Neurospora crassa OR74A: one gene and its partners. The protein of the gene in region 3 interacts with the protein of the main gene of each other region in a pairwise test. Links are inferred from orthologs where the notes say so. Each region holds a gene or a part of one and is shown on either strand. Other genes may lie near its edges.

What was found.
Region 1: the proteins of NCU03952 (region 3) and NCU09437 interact in binary tests that used the Saccharomyces cerevisiae proteins (3 or more experiments, as listed by UniProt). The link is inferred for Neurospora crassa OR74A from reciprocal best matches to the Saccharomyces cerevisiae genes MPP10 and UTP22.
Region 2: the proteins of NCU03952 (region 3) and NCU04243 interact in binary tests that used the Saccharomyces cerevisiae proteins (3 or more experiments, as listed by UniProt). The link is inferred for Neurospora crassa OR74A from reciprocal best matches to the Saccharomyces cerevisiae genes MPP10 and IMP4.

The regions. Positions count from the first base shown.
Region 1 is NC_026507.1:182,348-186,944, reverse strand, and holds the start of NCU09437 (hypothetical protein), read left to right. Parts: upstream 1-1,587; 5' UTR 1,588-1,672; coding exon 1,673-4,597. UniProt on the Saccharomyces cerevisiae protein: Involved in nucleolar processing of pre-18S ribosomal RNA and ribosome assembly.
Region 2 is NC_026505.1:5,331,350-5,335,836, reverse strand, and holds NCU04243 (U3 small nucleolar ribonucleoprotein IMP4), read right to left. Parts: upstream 2,846-4,487; 5' UTR 2,596-2,845; coding exon 2,590-2,595; intron 2,522-2,589; coding exon 2,063-2,521; intron 2,000-2,062; coding exon 1,577-1,999; 3' UTR 711-1,576; downstream 1-710. Other genes in the region: prd-6 (ATP-dependent helicase NAM7), read left to right, coding at 3,772-4,487. UniProt on the Saccharomyces cerevisiae protein: Required for the early cleavages at sites A0, A1 and A2 during 18S ribosomal pre-RNA processing.
Region 3 is NC_026506.1:2,220,957-2,225,437, reverse strand, and holds the start of NCU03952 (U3 small nucleolar ribonucleoprotein Mpp10), read right to left. Parts: upstream 3,066-4,481; 5' UTR 2,657-3,065; coding exon 278-2,656; 3' UTR 1-277. UniProt on the Saccharomyces cerevisiae protein: Involved in nucleolar processing of pre-18S ribosomal RNA. Required for the early cleavages at sites A0, A1 and A2 during 18S ribosomal pre-RNA processing.

The DNA.
Region 1 (4,597 bases), on a different chromosome or scaffold from region 3:
CTAGTTTATCTACGGAAGTTCTAATAATTTCGAGGTTTCTAGCATCAAAACCGGCCTTCTTAATAATAAAATCCTTATAAATTCCGGCTAGCGTAGCTATACAACCGAACCAGGGAATACTTCTCGGTAATAAAGGTCGTAAGGTATATAAGTACTAAAATTCCTTTCTAAAATCACACTATTCTAATACGCAATATAATTTATCGATAGCGAAAAGACTAATCCGTTTATAGAATTCTAGGGACCGCAATACAGCCTTAAATTTCGTACTTATCGTAAGTTCCGGGCTCAATAGAATATAAGTATAATCGCCGCATTAAATTTAGTCCCAAATATCCCAGTTCTATATATAAATTAATAAAGGTACTTAAGATTCGTAAAAAAGGGCAGAATACTTACTTTTAAAGTCACATCTTTATTTACCTATACTAGCTTTAAATCTAGCACTTTAGTAATAATATTATTATATTAACTTTCTCCAAACTTAATTAACAGTATAATCTATATTGTAATTTTATTATATAAAGCTAAAAATATATATAGGACAATACTTTTTCCGTAGCCCATTACTGCGACTAATATTATATCCTTCTATTCGTACGCCAACCGTACTACCGCCTTAACCTAGCCTTTTCGAGGGTCTTTACTATTACTAATAATATCTTTTATTACCCGCAATATACGCTAGGGGTCAACGGAGGGATCGAAATTAGGATCTATAGTATTAATACCTATAGAGGATAGAAAAAATTAAGGAAAAAAAATAACGTACTATAGAGTAAAGAAAACTATACTACTATATTAATAGTCGTATAATATCTATACCTACAAAGTTTTATAGTATTGGGATAAAAAGCCGTACTGTAATATATAGCTAACTAGGCATTGAATATACGGACTTACGTAAAGTTTTTACATTTTCTATAATAATTAATACTTTCAATAGTCGTAGAAAAAAATTAATAATACCATTAAATCCGTCTCAACGAACTCTTTCTCCTCATATCTTTTGTATAACCTAAATCTATTGTTTTATTTTAACGCTATATTATCTTTCTTAGAAGTTTATCAATATAAATTCCCCTATCCGCTTCTAGTCTAATTGGGAATTCAAACCTCTTTTTTAGGCGTTCTTATTCAATACCGGAAAGTATACTAAAAGAATGGGTACACGGATCACAATTTAGAAACTTTAGTAACTTTCAATTTATTATTTTTTTTGAGAACCCCGGGCGCGCAGCGCACGGGCCAGATGTGCGCGCAGCGCACTTTCCCAGCGGCCGCAGGCCGCCCATGCCTAAAAAAGAGGGTCTGATTCTGAGATAAGGGCCGGGCGCTCACTGTCTGTCAGTTGAACCCCACAGGGGCAACCAACCAACATTGCCCCACCCGACTGCCCCTGTCGGGTCTTCCACTGCCCCTGTTTGTGGATTGACCTCTTATCTCTTATCGGAGCTCCAGAGTCTCAAAAAATTTGGGAATTCCCGTCGCAAACTTGAACGAGACTCGAATTTGCAGAACTTCAATTGGAGGGACGACGCTCGGTCCACTGTTGTTTGGCTTTCAGTGCTCTCTCTCTCAGTGTCTTGTCACTATCAATTTCCTGTCTCCATTCCCAGGACATCCTCCTCCACCATCACCATCATATACCTATACCACCGCCACACATACAATGGAACCCGGATCAGCAAAACGACGCAAGATTGGCCATTCACGCGGCGGTGAAAGCGCAGTTGGCAACATCGACGCCGCTGCCTCCTCGGGTCTCTCGCGTGGCCGCGCATTCATCCTCGAAGCCGAAGAACTCGTCGACGAAGTGAAGCTCGACTATGCCACGGCCCTCGAAGGCGTCGACTCCCTCCTCCACAAGATCAAGGGCTCCATCGAAGCCATCGAAGCCCACGATGCCCTCCAGATCGCCGAGGCTGCCACCAAACTCGAAAAGAAACACAAGATCCCGATCCCGTTCCCCGAGCCGCGCCCGTCCGACAAGTCCAACTACAAGGTCGCCTTCGCAAAGCCTTCCCAGTTCAACGTTGTCGGCAGCTATGTGTCCAAGACCATGATCAAGGCCCAAAAGAGCCATGCTGTGGATATGGTGGTTGTGATCCCCGGCGAGACTCTGCAAGAGAAGGACTACCTCGACCTGCGATACTTTTACAAGAGAGCCTACTTCCTCGGTGTTGTGGCTGCTGCCCTACAAAAGGACCTGGCTGATGATGGAGAGCTTTCATACGAATACCTGAATGGGAACACCCTGTCCCCCATTTTGTCGTTGAAACCAAAGGTGGAAGGAGAAAAAAAGGAGGGCCAGCTGGACTACAGAGTGCGCATCATCCCTTGCGCCCCAGACAACTTCTTCCCCAAATCAAAGCTTCACTTGGGCGCTACCCTCGTGCGCAAAGCTGGCGGTGACGAGTCCAAGGCCGCGACCAAGCCTACGCCCTTCTACAACTCGACGATTGTTTCCGAGTCCTGCTTCTTTCCCTACTTGAAGCTCTTGCGACAAACCGAAAAGAAATGCGCCGCGTTCAAGAAGGCTTGCATCCTGGGTCGGGTGTGGTTGCAACAACGAGGACTGGGAAGCGATATGGCGGACGGTGGTTTTGGTCACTTTGAATGGGCGGTACTTTTGGCCCTTCTGCTCCAAAGCGGCGACAGCACCAAGGGACATGCGCCCTTGTCTACATCCCTGAGCGCCACCCAGTTGTTCAAGGCCATGGTCCAGTTCTTGTCTGTTACTAACCTGTCCGAGAAGCCGTGTGTTTTGGGAACTGCCACCGTCGAGTCCGAAACCACTGGTCCGGTTCTCTTCGACGCTGTTCGTGGTTTGAACGTTGCCTTCAAGATGAGCAACTGGTCTGCGGCCAAGCTACACCAACACGCCAAGTGGACAAGGAGCCTTCTCAACGACAGCACTGCCGACCAGTTTACCCCTACCTTCATCCTCAAGGCCGACCTCCCCTGGCAAAACTACGACCTCATTGCCCACCTCAACTACGATGGAAAGCAGGACAAGACAGAACCGATTGACTGCCGGGGACGGCTATGGGAATACAGCGACAAGGTGCACAGGGTTCTCAAGCGGGCTCTTCAGGACGAAGAACTAGGTGAAAGGGCTCGGTCGATTCACATTCAACTACCCAAGAGCTCATCCTGGGATCTCACCAAGAAACCCTCCACCAAGCAGAACCACACAATCGAGATTGGTGTCCTCTTCAATGCCGCCAACATGACCCGCTCTGTCGACCGCGGTCCGGCCGCTGGACCTAGCAACGAGGAGAAGGAGGAATGCGCCAAGTTCCAGCGGTTCTGGGGTGAGAAATCGGAACTTCGTCGGTTCGAGGGTGATTCTATCAGGGAGACCTTGATCTGGTCGTCCACCTCCCCCTTTGACCTCTGCGAGGAAATTATGCGCTACATCCTCAAGCTCCATCTTCGCGTTGGCTACCTCGAGGACGAGCTCACCTTCCACGGCGATGGCTTCACCGAGTTGATTCCTATCAAGCCGACCGACACCTCCGTCTTCAACGCCGCTCGCAAGGCCTTTTCCTCCTTCGAGAAGGATATCCGCGACTTGGACGACATGCCGCTGCACGTCAGGCAAATAGCCCCCATCTGCCCCGAACTGCGACACGCCTCCGTCAAGGTGCCCTTCTCGACCGTCAACAAATCCGGCCCACGCCCCCTGGAATGCGTCATCTCCTTTGAAGCCTCCGGCAAGTGGCCCGAATCCATCGTGGCCATCCAACGCACCAAGATCGCCTTCCTGCGCATGATCGGCGACCTCCTGGAGCGTTCCAAGCCCGGCGAGGTCCGCTCTTACGTCGGTCTCGAGTCCTCTACCACCACCAACACGGAACTCGAGAACCTCGCCTACCTCGACATCGTCTACGAGTCCGGTCCTGCCTTCCGCCTGCGCATCCACTCTGACCTCGAAGAGGCCCTCCTCACGCGCCAATCGCACGACAAGACCATCGACCAACACCACCGCCACCAAGCCTCCGTGCTCCTCTCCAACTTCCGCAGACTCTACTACCACCTCCCTCTGCACACTCAATCCATCAACACCTTCGCCACCCGCTTCCCCGCCTTCTCGCCCACCGTCCGCCTGCTCAAACACTGGTTCTCCTCACACAAACTCGCCTCCCACTTCACCCCCGACTTCATTGAACTCGTCGCCCTCCAGACTTTCTTGAGCCCCTACCCCTGGGACGCACCCTCCTCCCCTTCCGTCGGCCTTCTCCGCGCCCTCCTCTTCGTCAGCAGATGGGACTGGCGCTCCGAGCCGCTCATCGTCGACACCAACAGCGACATGCCATCGTCCGAACGCTCCGCCATCGCCACCCGTCTCGAAGCCTGGCGCAAGATCGATCCGCTCATGAACCACACCGTCCTCTTCGTCGCCACGGCGCAGGAATCTTCCGGCGTCGCTTACACCACCGTCAACGGCATCGCGCAACCCAGCAAAGTCGTCGCAGCACGCATGACTGCCCTCGCCAAGACCGCCTGCCACGTTATTCGCGAAGAGGGCGTCGAGCTGGACGCTAGACGGCTGTTCGTCCCCAGTACGAAGGAATATGATGTCCTATTGCAC
Region 2 (4,487 bases), on a different chromosome or scaffold from region 3:
GGCTGAAAGGTGTTTGCAGATGAGTTTGCACTATATTCCAAGCTTCTTCACATCATTCCACGGAGCTGTCTTGAACCGTGGCCATGGATGATCCATATCCCTGTCTCTCTGTTGATGATGAATGCTGAGCCAGACTCCGACTCAAAACCACAATGGGAAAAGAGTCTCGGTCACAGCGGGTTTCCGACCCACGTCTCCAGTTGTTGCTGTGCCCAAGGTCAGCTGCATCCTGCACGGAATGCAGCATCAAGGCACAAGCTTCAAGAGCTGACGACTTCAGACTGCTGAGAGGTTGTTTGTTATTGTCAAAAGATGGGAAGGAAGAGGGCACCGCAAAGTACAGCTTTAACAGCCGCATGAACTCGGAGTGTTAAACGTGGTAAAATCTCCGCTGTCAAGAACCCCGACTTATCGTCGCATTCACCACGTGGACGGGAGGATGGCAAACTTTGATCGCCTAATTCTCCAATGGCAGAGGAATGGACAAGCTACAAATCTTTCTGTTGCCGCCCTGTGACGATATCGTCAATTGTGAACCGGCAATTGGCACTTGCGCTGTCCCCAGAGTTGGAAGTGAGGAACCAATCGCCGGTGTGGAACCTTCAAAAGAGCGTGCAGGCGGCCCCACGGAACACCGTCTCCACGTCGACGCGCCCCCTTTTGTTTGGAATGGAGCCCCAAGGAGAAAAGGGGTCCTTTTCCTTCCCACTGGTAGAAAGCTTGGCAGATCATATTTCGAGTTCATCGACCAATTGCTTTATGTTTCTGATCTGATCTCATTGAGTTGCACACTTCAGCCAAGTCCCCGCCTTGCTGCTGAGCCGCTCAAACAGCCTTTCTTTCTTTACATGCCAGCACTCAGTCCCAAATGGAAGCACCCGTTCGACCACATGTTTTGTTTATTCCGCGCTCAGCTGAGAAATGATATACCTTTACACCCTCAACTCCGGTCCGTTTCCTGATATGTGAACCCAATGCTCTTAAAATTACATCCAAATCCCAACATTGGTATCTCATGAGACTGCTGCTCCCTTTTTTGTCCCATCCTCCAGCCCCATCGTTGCGTGCGTTACCTCCAGTGTGACATGTCGTTGATAGACATGACATGCTCGTTTCACCGCGGGAACCTTCCGATCCTCACAGCCACTCGGCAAGCAGCCGACCCAGCAACCACGCCCATCACCAGTCAGACGTTGATGCGATCATCTCTGGTTCCACTAGAGTGCCGAAGCTGGAACACAGTACTCGCTATCTTGGCCAGCCACGTACTACCTCGGGCGGTAGAGGAGAATATAAGCGAGAATTCGGCTAGGCATCTGAGCGGTCTTCCCATTGCCTCCTGCTACTGAGCAGCAGACAAATTGGTGAAAAGGGCTTTCCGCCACCAGATCGTGTCTTTGCGTTTCCCCTGGCTATCCTTTTTTCAGGTTTGTCCGGCGCAATCATCAGGTCCAGTGCTTGACGTTCGTGGCCCAGCAGCAACTTGTCTCGGAAGCCATGCTCACTTGCTGTGACATCCCACCCAATCCAACCGATAATAACACGACTATAGCGGCCCTTTTGTTCCAATCACCGCTTAAAAGTAGTTCTTTTTCCTGCTGGTCCTGGTGTACTGGCTGAGGTGCCATTCGGTATCCGCATCCTTGTTGTCGAGGGTGCCCATGGTGATCTTGAAGGGCTTCATCGTAAACCGGGGTCCAACCTCACTGAGCTCGACCGAGTCGTACGAGGTGCGGACATAGACGTGGTGCCTGACCTCAATCGTATCGTCGTTGTTGACAAATGTTATGACTCTGTTGCCGACGTTGGGTTTCTGTGTCGGCTCGCGGGGAGGGAAGAGGTGCTTGAGGATCTTGACCACTCGCTCACCGAGTTTGGTGCTGAAGCCCTCGAAAATTAGCCTGGGGTAGCTTTCGCTGACTGTGCCCTTTATCGACTTGGGAATATCGGCGCGGAGAACGACGTTGTGGAGGGAGACCATGAGCGTCGGGCCATGGGGCTATAGCAAGGATTAGAAAATGCGTTTTGCAAGTACAACAACATGCCTGGAGGGACAACGTACGAAATGGGAAATGGTCATGGCGGTAGGGACACCACGGTGCTCGTGTAGCAAAACAACATCCGTCAAGTTTTGCGCCTTGGCGGCGCCAACAAGGTCTTCCAAAACGAGGTTACCACGGTTCAGCCGAACACTGGTGGGTAGTAGGAGACGGATTTCCTTGCTGAACTGGCCGAGTCTGCTGGAGGGATCGCGACTTGTCGTAACCAAGATTCTGGGGTCAATGACACCCGACAACTCCGAGTATTCGTCGTCGATATCGATGGCGTCTCCGTTCACATCCCTCGAAACATCGTAGTCGAAGTCCTTTCGCAATTCCTTGTCCTTCGCAATCTCGGGGTCGAGTGGCTTGCCCGAGGCCAGGGCAGACCTCAGCTTGGCGCGCTTCTCTGCAACCTCGGCCTCCTTGAGCAGGAGGGCTCTTCGGTAAAGGTAGTCCCGCCTTTGGCGAGCTTGCTTTCTCTATTGCAGATGTTAGTCATGGACATTGAGAAACTTGGAGAAGATGACGAGTAGACAGGGACACTTACAATCATCTTGTTGTGTTGACACGCTTATCAGACGGTAATAAGTGATTCGGTGGAAGGGATCGCGCCGAGCTCTCAGAGTCGTGTTGTCGAAAGTGGTAGTAATGAGGTTGTCGATAAGAATTAAGGCTGCGAAGACTGGCAGAAATTCAGATGTTCCGGGTCGATACTAGTGGAGGGCGGAGTGGTTGGTGACGACAGGGGTGTTCACAGAGAAAAAAGTCGAAAAAAGTTACAATCGAATGGGACTAAGCGCGAGGTGCACGGATCTTTTCAGCTTGGCGGATACCTATTGGCTTAGGTCCCGTCGATTTGCGCCTGCCGGGAAAGAGATCGCGCCTGGGTCGCCCGGTTCAACGCCACCTTAGGTACCCTGGCTCCCTTCGCTGCAGCTTGTGCCGGTTTCCCAGTACCTACCTACCTACTTGCTGCCCGCTTTCTAGAATACAGGGCAGTTTCAGGCGCTATGACTGCCCGTGCTTCTCAAACAGCTGAGCCCAGAACTGGAGGCTGCTGATAGAAGGCCGTCGGATATCAAACAAGGGAACGACGAACCTCCAACCTGAACCGCAACCGTGACCCGTCCGCCAACACAAACTGAACGGAAGTCGGCCACCGGCAAAATTCCCCCAAGCAAACAACAACCGTGACCTTGAACGGCGGCAACCAAACCATTTGCTTCACAACACCAAGAACAACCTTAAGCGAGCCGATCAGTGGTCTCACTCTGCATCAGCACCTCGACGTTCTGGCAGTGTCGTCGTTTCGAAAGCCCCCGCGCGCAACACAGCCCGCTCGCCGATCCAATCCGTTATGCGATGATGTGACCTTTTAGACGACGTCCAAGCCCATAATCTACATCTTTCCATAGTCCCGCATTGCGACAACCCGCAATACGACAGCCACACCTTTTACCTTTCGACAAAACTTCCGGGTGTGAACTCTTCAAGGTACGCCGCTTGTTTGCGTGTCATGTTCATGTAAACACTGAAATACACATCCCTCCCCAACAGCCCGCTCAACAGCTACAGGCTGGACCGCGGCGTATACCAACAGTACCTTACTTATCTCGTTCCCCAACGATACCTGCCTGACCCTACGTTACTGTTGCGAATTTCCCTCCCAGACACTTACTGACCAGCTGCTGGTGCTCCAGAGTTTACCTCCGTCAACCCACTCGCCATCATGGCCAACATGGAGGTGTCCTTCACACACCTTGGAAACCACTTGGTTTCCGACTCTGCTGCTGCCATCAAGGCCGGTGGCTCCGACGAACTGTCCAATATCGATCCCGATGAGAACCTCCTCTACGGTGTCTACGGTGGACGTGGTCCCCGCGGCAATGGTAGACGCCGCCACGATGACGACGACAACGAGACCGAGGTCCTTGATGACGATGATGACGAGAGTTTGGCCAGCGTTCCAGTCGACGGCATGAAGAGCCTCAAGCTGGATGCCCCCGTGGAGGAGAAGGAACTGCCTCCCCACGCCTGTGCCTACTGTGGCATCCACTCGCCCTCTAGCGTCGTCAAGTGCCTTACCTGTAACAAGTGGTTCTGCAGCGCCAAAGGAAGCGCCTTCTCGTCCCATATCGTCAACCACCTTGTTCGCGCCCGTCACAAGGAAGTTCAACTTCACCCCGAGTCCTCCCTCGGCGATACCGTCCTCGAATGTTACAACTGCGGCACCAAGAATGTCTTCATCCTCGGTTTCATCCCTGCCAAGTCAGACACGGTTGTGGTCCTCCTCTGCCGCCAGCCGTGTGGTGCTAGTACGTCGACCAAGGATATGAGCTGGGATATATCCAGGTGGCAACCCTTGATCGAAGACAGGGCTTTCCTCAACTGGCTCGTCACCCCTCCCACGGATGCTGAGCAGCTTCGTGCTCGCCATCTCACGCC
Region 3 (4,481 bases):
GGGCCAGGATTAGTTGTTGTACTGACTCCATAATATTAGGCACACAAGAATCATCTTCGACAATGTTGAACGTGAACAGTTGAGCATTGTATACCGGCTGACGGCCGATGAAAAACAAACTCATGCATAGTTTTTGAACTCCCAATTATGTACCTATTCCATACAAAAGAAAAAGACCTTTACAGATCGCCCTTAGCCAAGACTGCCCACCCGTCCAACCCATCAGGGTATCATCCATCTTCTTCCTACGTCTATCCCTCGTCTAACAACCCGACCTTTAAAGCTTGAAGGCACCACTCGACGTAGGACCCTTCTGCTCCGCGATCTTCTTGCCATCCAACCCAACCGTCTCACCCTTCCGGTTAATAACCTTGACACCGCCCTTCTTGAGCTGGCTCATCGTCTCCTTGCGTTCCTGGGCACCCTTGCTGATGTTCTTGTTCGCATCCAGGCCGCCGGCCTTGCGGATGCGCTCCTTCTCGCGTCTGCGTCTCCTAGCCTTCTCCTCGCGGCTCATCTCCTCCTTGGCAATCGGCAGGCCGCTCTTGGCCACGACCTCGCCCTTCTCGACTGAGTCCTTGCCGGGGGCGTACACCTCCTGGGGCGCGAGCGTGCTCTCGCCACCCGACACACCCTGGGCCGTGGTGGGCATGGCGTCCTCCATGGCGACGGTGGCGACGTCGGTGACAACGCTGATGGTGGGTGCGGCGGGTTTAGGCTTGTAGTGCCAGCTGCTGAGGGCGTCGAGCTTGGCGCAGATGTCCTTCCACATGTTCTTGATCTCGGCCTCGTCGCGCGTGAGCTTCTCGTCCGAAGCGCTGACGTACTCGTCCGGGTTGGCCTTCTTGATGTGCTCCTCCTCGTAGATCTCGGCGAGAGACTGCTTGCCCTTGGTGTCGTCGATCTCAACGAGACCGCGGCGCGCGTTGTTGGGGTTATTGAGGGTGTCAGGACGTCTCCTGAGAACCTCGTCGAACTCGTTGGCAAGAATGCGGCGTTTGATGAGCGCCTCAATCGTCTCGGAAACCTCCTCGGTAATGACGGGGACAGGCTTTCCGACATGCTCAAACTCGAGGTCTTCCTCCAGGAGCGAGTTCATGGGACGAGCTTGCGCGGAAGCCTCACCGGACAGAGTCCAGGCGCGCTTGGCAACTAGCTCAGACTCGAGCCTGCGGATCTCCTCGGCAATCTTGGCTTGTCTGCGCTCGTGGGCGGACCGGCGAGATCTCGGATCACCAGCATCAAGATCCGAGAGCTTATCTTCATCTTCATTCTCCGAGATGTCGTCGAAGAGATCGCGGCGCACATCATTCTCGGCTCTCTCCATATCGGCCTCATCTGGCTGCTCAAGTTTCTTGGGGAAATAGCCTCCTTTCCTTTGGTTGCCGGTCTTCTTCTTTTGAGGTGGCGCGAAGAAGTCCTTGTAGTAAATGTCGTTGGCGGTAAGGTCCATGTCCATACCGAGAACACCATCTGTAAGGCCGAGATCGTCGCCATCGTCCTCGAGCTGCTCCACGTTCTTCTTGCCCTTGAGTTTCTTGGCGTGGGCGGCGGCAGCAGCCTCGAGGGCCTCGTCGTCTTCGGATTCATCGCCCATGTCGACGTCGTCCTCATCCTGGTCTTCGTCCTTCTTCTTGTCGCTCTTGCCCTTCTTTGATTTTGGCTTTGTCGCGAAAGGATCGGCGTGCCAGTCTAGCTGTTCGTCGTCGCTGTCGGCATCGACGTTGGGGTCCGCACGGGCATCCGCGTCCTCCCACAACTGTGTCTGCCGGTTGAAGTCGTCTATTGAGAAGAAGCCGTCGTTGAGGCCGTTGGGATCCTCGACAAGTTCTGGCGCATCCTCTTCCTCTTCTTCTTCTTCTTCTTCTTCTTCTTCTTCCTCCTCCTCCTCATCAAACTCTCCTTCTCCATCTTCGTCCGAGAATTCAACCTCTTCGCCATCGATCTCGATTTCTTCATCGTCGTCGATCTGGCTGCCCTCTTCTCCTTCTAATTCTTCTTCGTCATCCTCCTCATCCTCTTCTCCTTCAGAGCCAGAACCAGATTCGCTATCAGCATCCTCCTCATCGTCCTCCTCCTCCTCATCAGAACCAAGCTCAAACCCATCCTCTCCAAACTCAATGGTCTTCTCTTGTTCCTCGCCGGTGCCCACAATCCCGTTCTCCTCCAGCTCCTTCAGCACATCGCCAGCCTCCTTTGTGGCGCTGGCAATGATCTTCTTGGCCTGCTGCCAAATCTGCTCCGTCTCGAAGCCGTCGTCGACGTGCAGCTTGCGAATCTTGAGCACGGCATTCTTGTCATAGCCAGCCTCACGCTTGCGCTTCTTTCCACCGATGGTGGCCGCGATCTCTTTCAGCTTTGCCTGCTGGTGGTCACTGACCTGCGAGGCGAGCGCGTCGAGGGTCTCCTTGGCGAGCAGGAGGGATCCGGCGGGAAGGGTCGAGGGCGGCTGCAGGAAGACGTGGCGGTTGGACTCGTCGGCCAGGGCCGAGAGGAAGGAGGCGACGACGGGGTTGTTGGCAATTGTCGAAGGAGAGGTGCTGCCGCTCGACGATGCGGCGAGGGTAGCGGCCATGACGCTGTTGTGTGTGGAGGGGTCGTGGGTGATTGTTTGGGATGTCGAGGTTACGGAAGAGGTTATGCTGCCAGCTGCCATGTCTGTTTTTTAGGTAGGGTTGGACTAATGCTGTAAGAAGATCAATCAAGGCTAGGGTATCGAGGCTGGCCTTGTCATACAAGTGTCTGACTTGAGGGTTCAATATGGACGCTTGACTAAGAAATGGCAGGGCGTCGGTGTTTGCCGTTGCCCGTACCAAAACAAAAAAAAGTTCGACCTGACGATGTTTGGTTGCCAGCCGGCGATATTGATGGACCAAAATTTTTTCTGCCATAGCGCTCTCCAAGGTCCAGGAAACGGCGAAGCGTGGAGGCAGGCGTCCCCGCACCAGCTTATGGGGCTGGCTGTGAATTGACCAATGATGGGTGATTCTGCTCTCTGGAAATGGAAGTAGGTCCCACTTCTCTTGTTGTTAAGCTTCAGGGCGGTGCACCGCTATAAGACGAGGTTGCCTTAACACTTATAATCGGATGACAATGTCAAGTAAACAAACCACAAAGTGCATGCAGTCTCAAAGGAGATGCTCGACATCAAGCTTGAGAGAGGGGATGAATTCACAATGACCTTTTTTTAAATATAGCATACGCTAGCGAGTTACTCTGAAGTTACTGGAAACTCAGTAAGCAATCACGCAACGATCTCCAGTGCTGTTGGATAGGTGAAGTCGCCGTTTCGACACAGGCACCTAGCTTGTTATCAGCACTTCCTTATCTAAAATTCCAGACTACCCTATCAATCCCATCAGCTCGTACATAGTCTATTGTATCTTTCGCCGCTTCACTTTCGTCGTAACTGGAAGTTTCTTGTCAAACGGTAAAAGGTAATTAAATTGTGCAAGAACTGTAAAATGTTAAACCAACGATTAACCCCATTGAGGAAGAGCGCTAGGTTTGCCTCATACTAGCTACATTACAGTATGCTTCTCGTGTTCTTTTCAACATCGTAATGAGATCTCTGCGACAGACGTTGATGGACTATTTTCTGTAGAGGTAGGCTACTTACCCAGCCGGCTCTTCTTCATGGTCTGGATAACGTGCAGAGAAAGCTCTTATTACATAGTAGAAATGTAAGGGTGTTATTTGCGCACCTTCGGGGAAAGATGCTGCAAGTCATAACACTTGTTGAAGTTCCTTCACAAGCCACATCCCTATGCATATGGTATCGCCCGTGAGAATTTTGACGGACCATGAGGTATTCTTTCAAAATACGACAGCAGCGTTGACGTGCTGCATTAGGGTCTGGACCGTCTAAGCCTTCATTGAATGCAACTCGCGGGAGAGTGTCCCGCCGAGCCGAGCTGCGAGTGATACTCAAGACCTTCGTATCCCAGGCCAGGGAATTGTATCATGTTCTTTAGCGGTTGCCGAGGTCAATGTGAGGGCGATGGTGGCTTTGGTGATCCCAGCCTCTATGGTCGTGCGTTGCGTGCTCTCAATATGACCTCTTTTTCATGTTCGCCGGGAAATAACTGTGAACCTCACGGTGAAGATGTTTGCTATGTAACCACTAACTTGCTGTCGTGAACGGCGAGGATCCCATCAAGTGTCAGTGGCCTCCTGTATAGTACGACACATGAACTTGATCGCTAAGTGGCGTTGCTCGGTCCAATCGCATCACACCATCTATCTCTGCTACCTACCTAGAGTAGAATGGCCAAGTTAACGGCAACATTTCCAAAGTCGTACAGGAGGTCGCGAGAGAAGTTTCGGTTGGCTCACACTATGTAACTGCCAATCGCACACTGTTTGGTTACAGAGCTGGAAGATACGTCGAGATGGAGGGACGGGAAATACTTTTGAGTTGCCGGATGTTACCTAATTTGTCAAGCGAAGGAGATCTCCTTGTGAAAATCCGGACGGGCCGA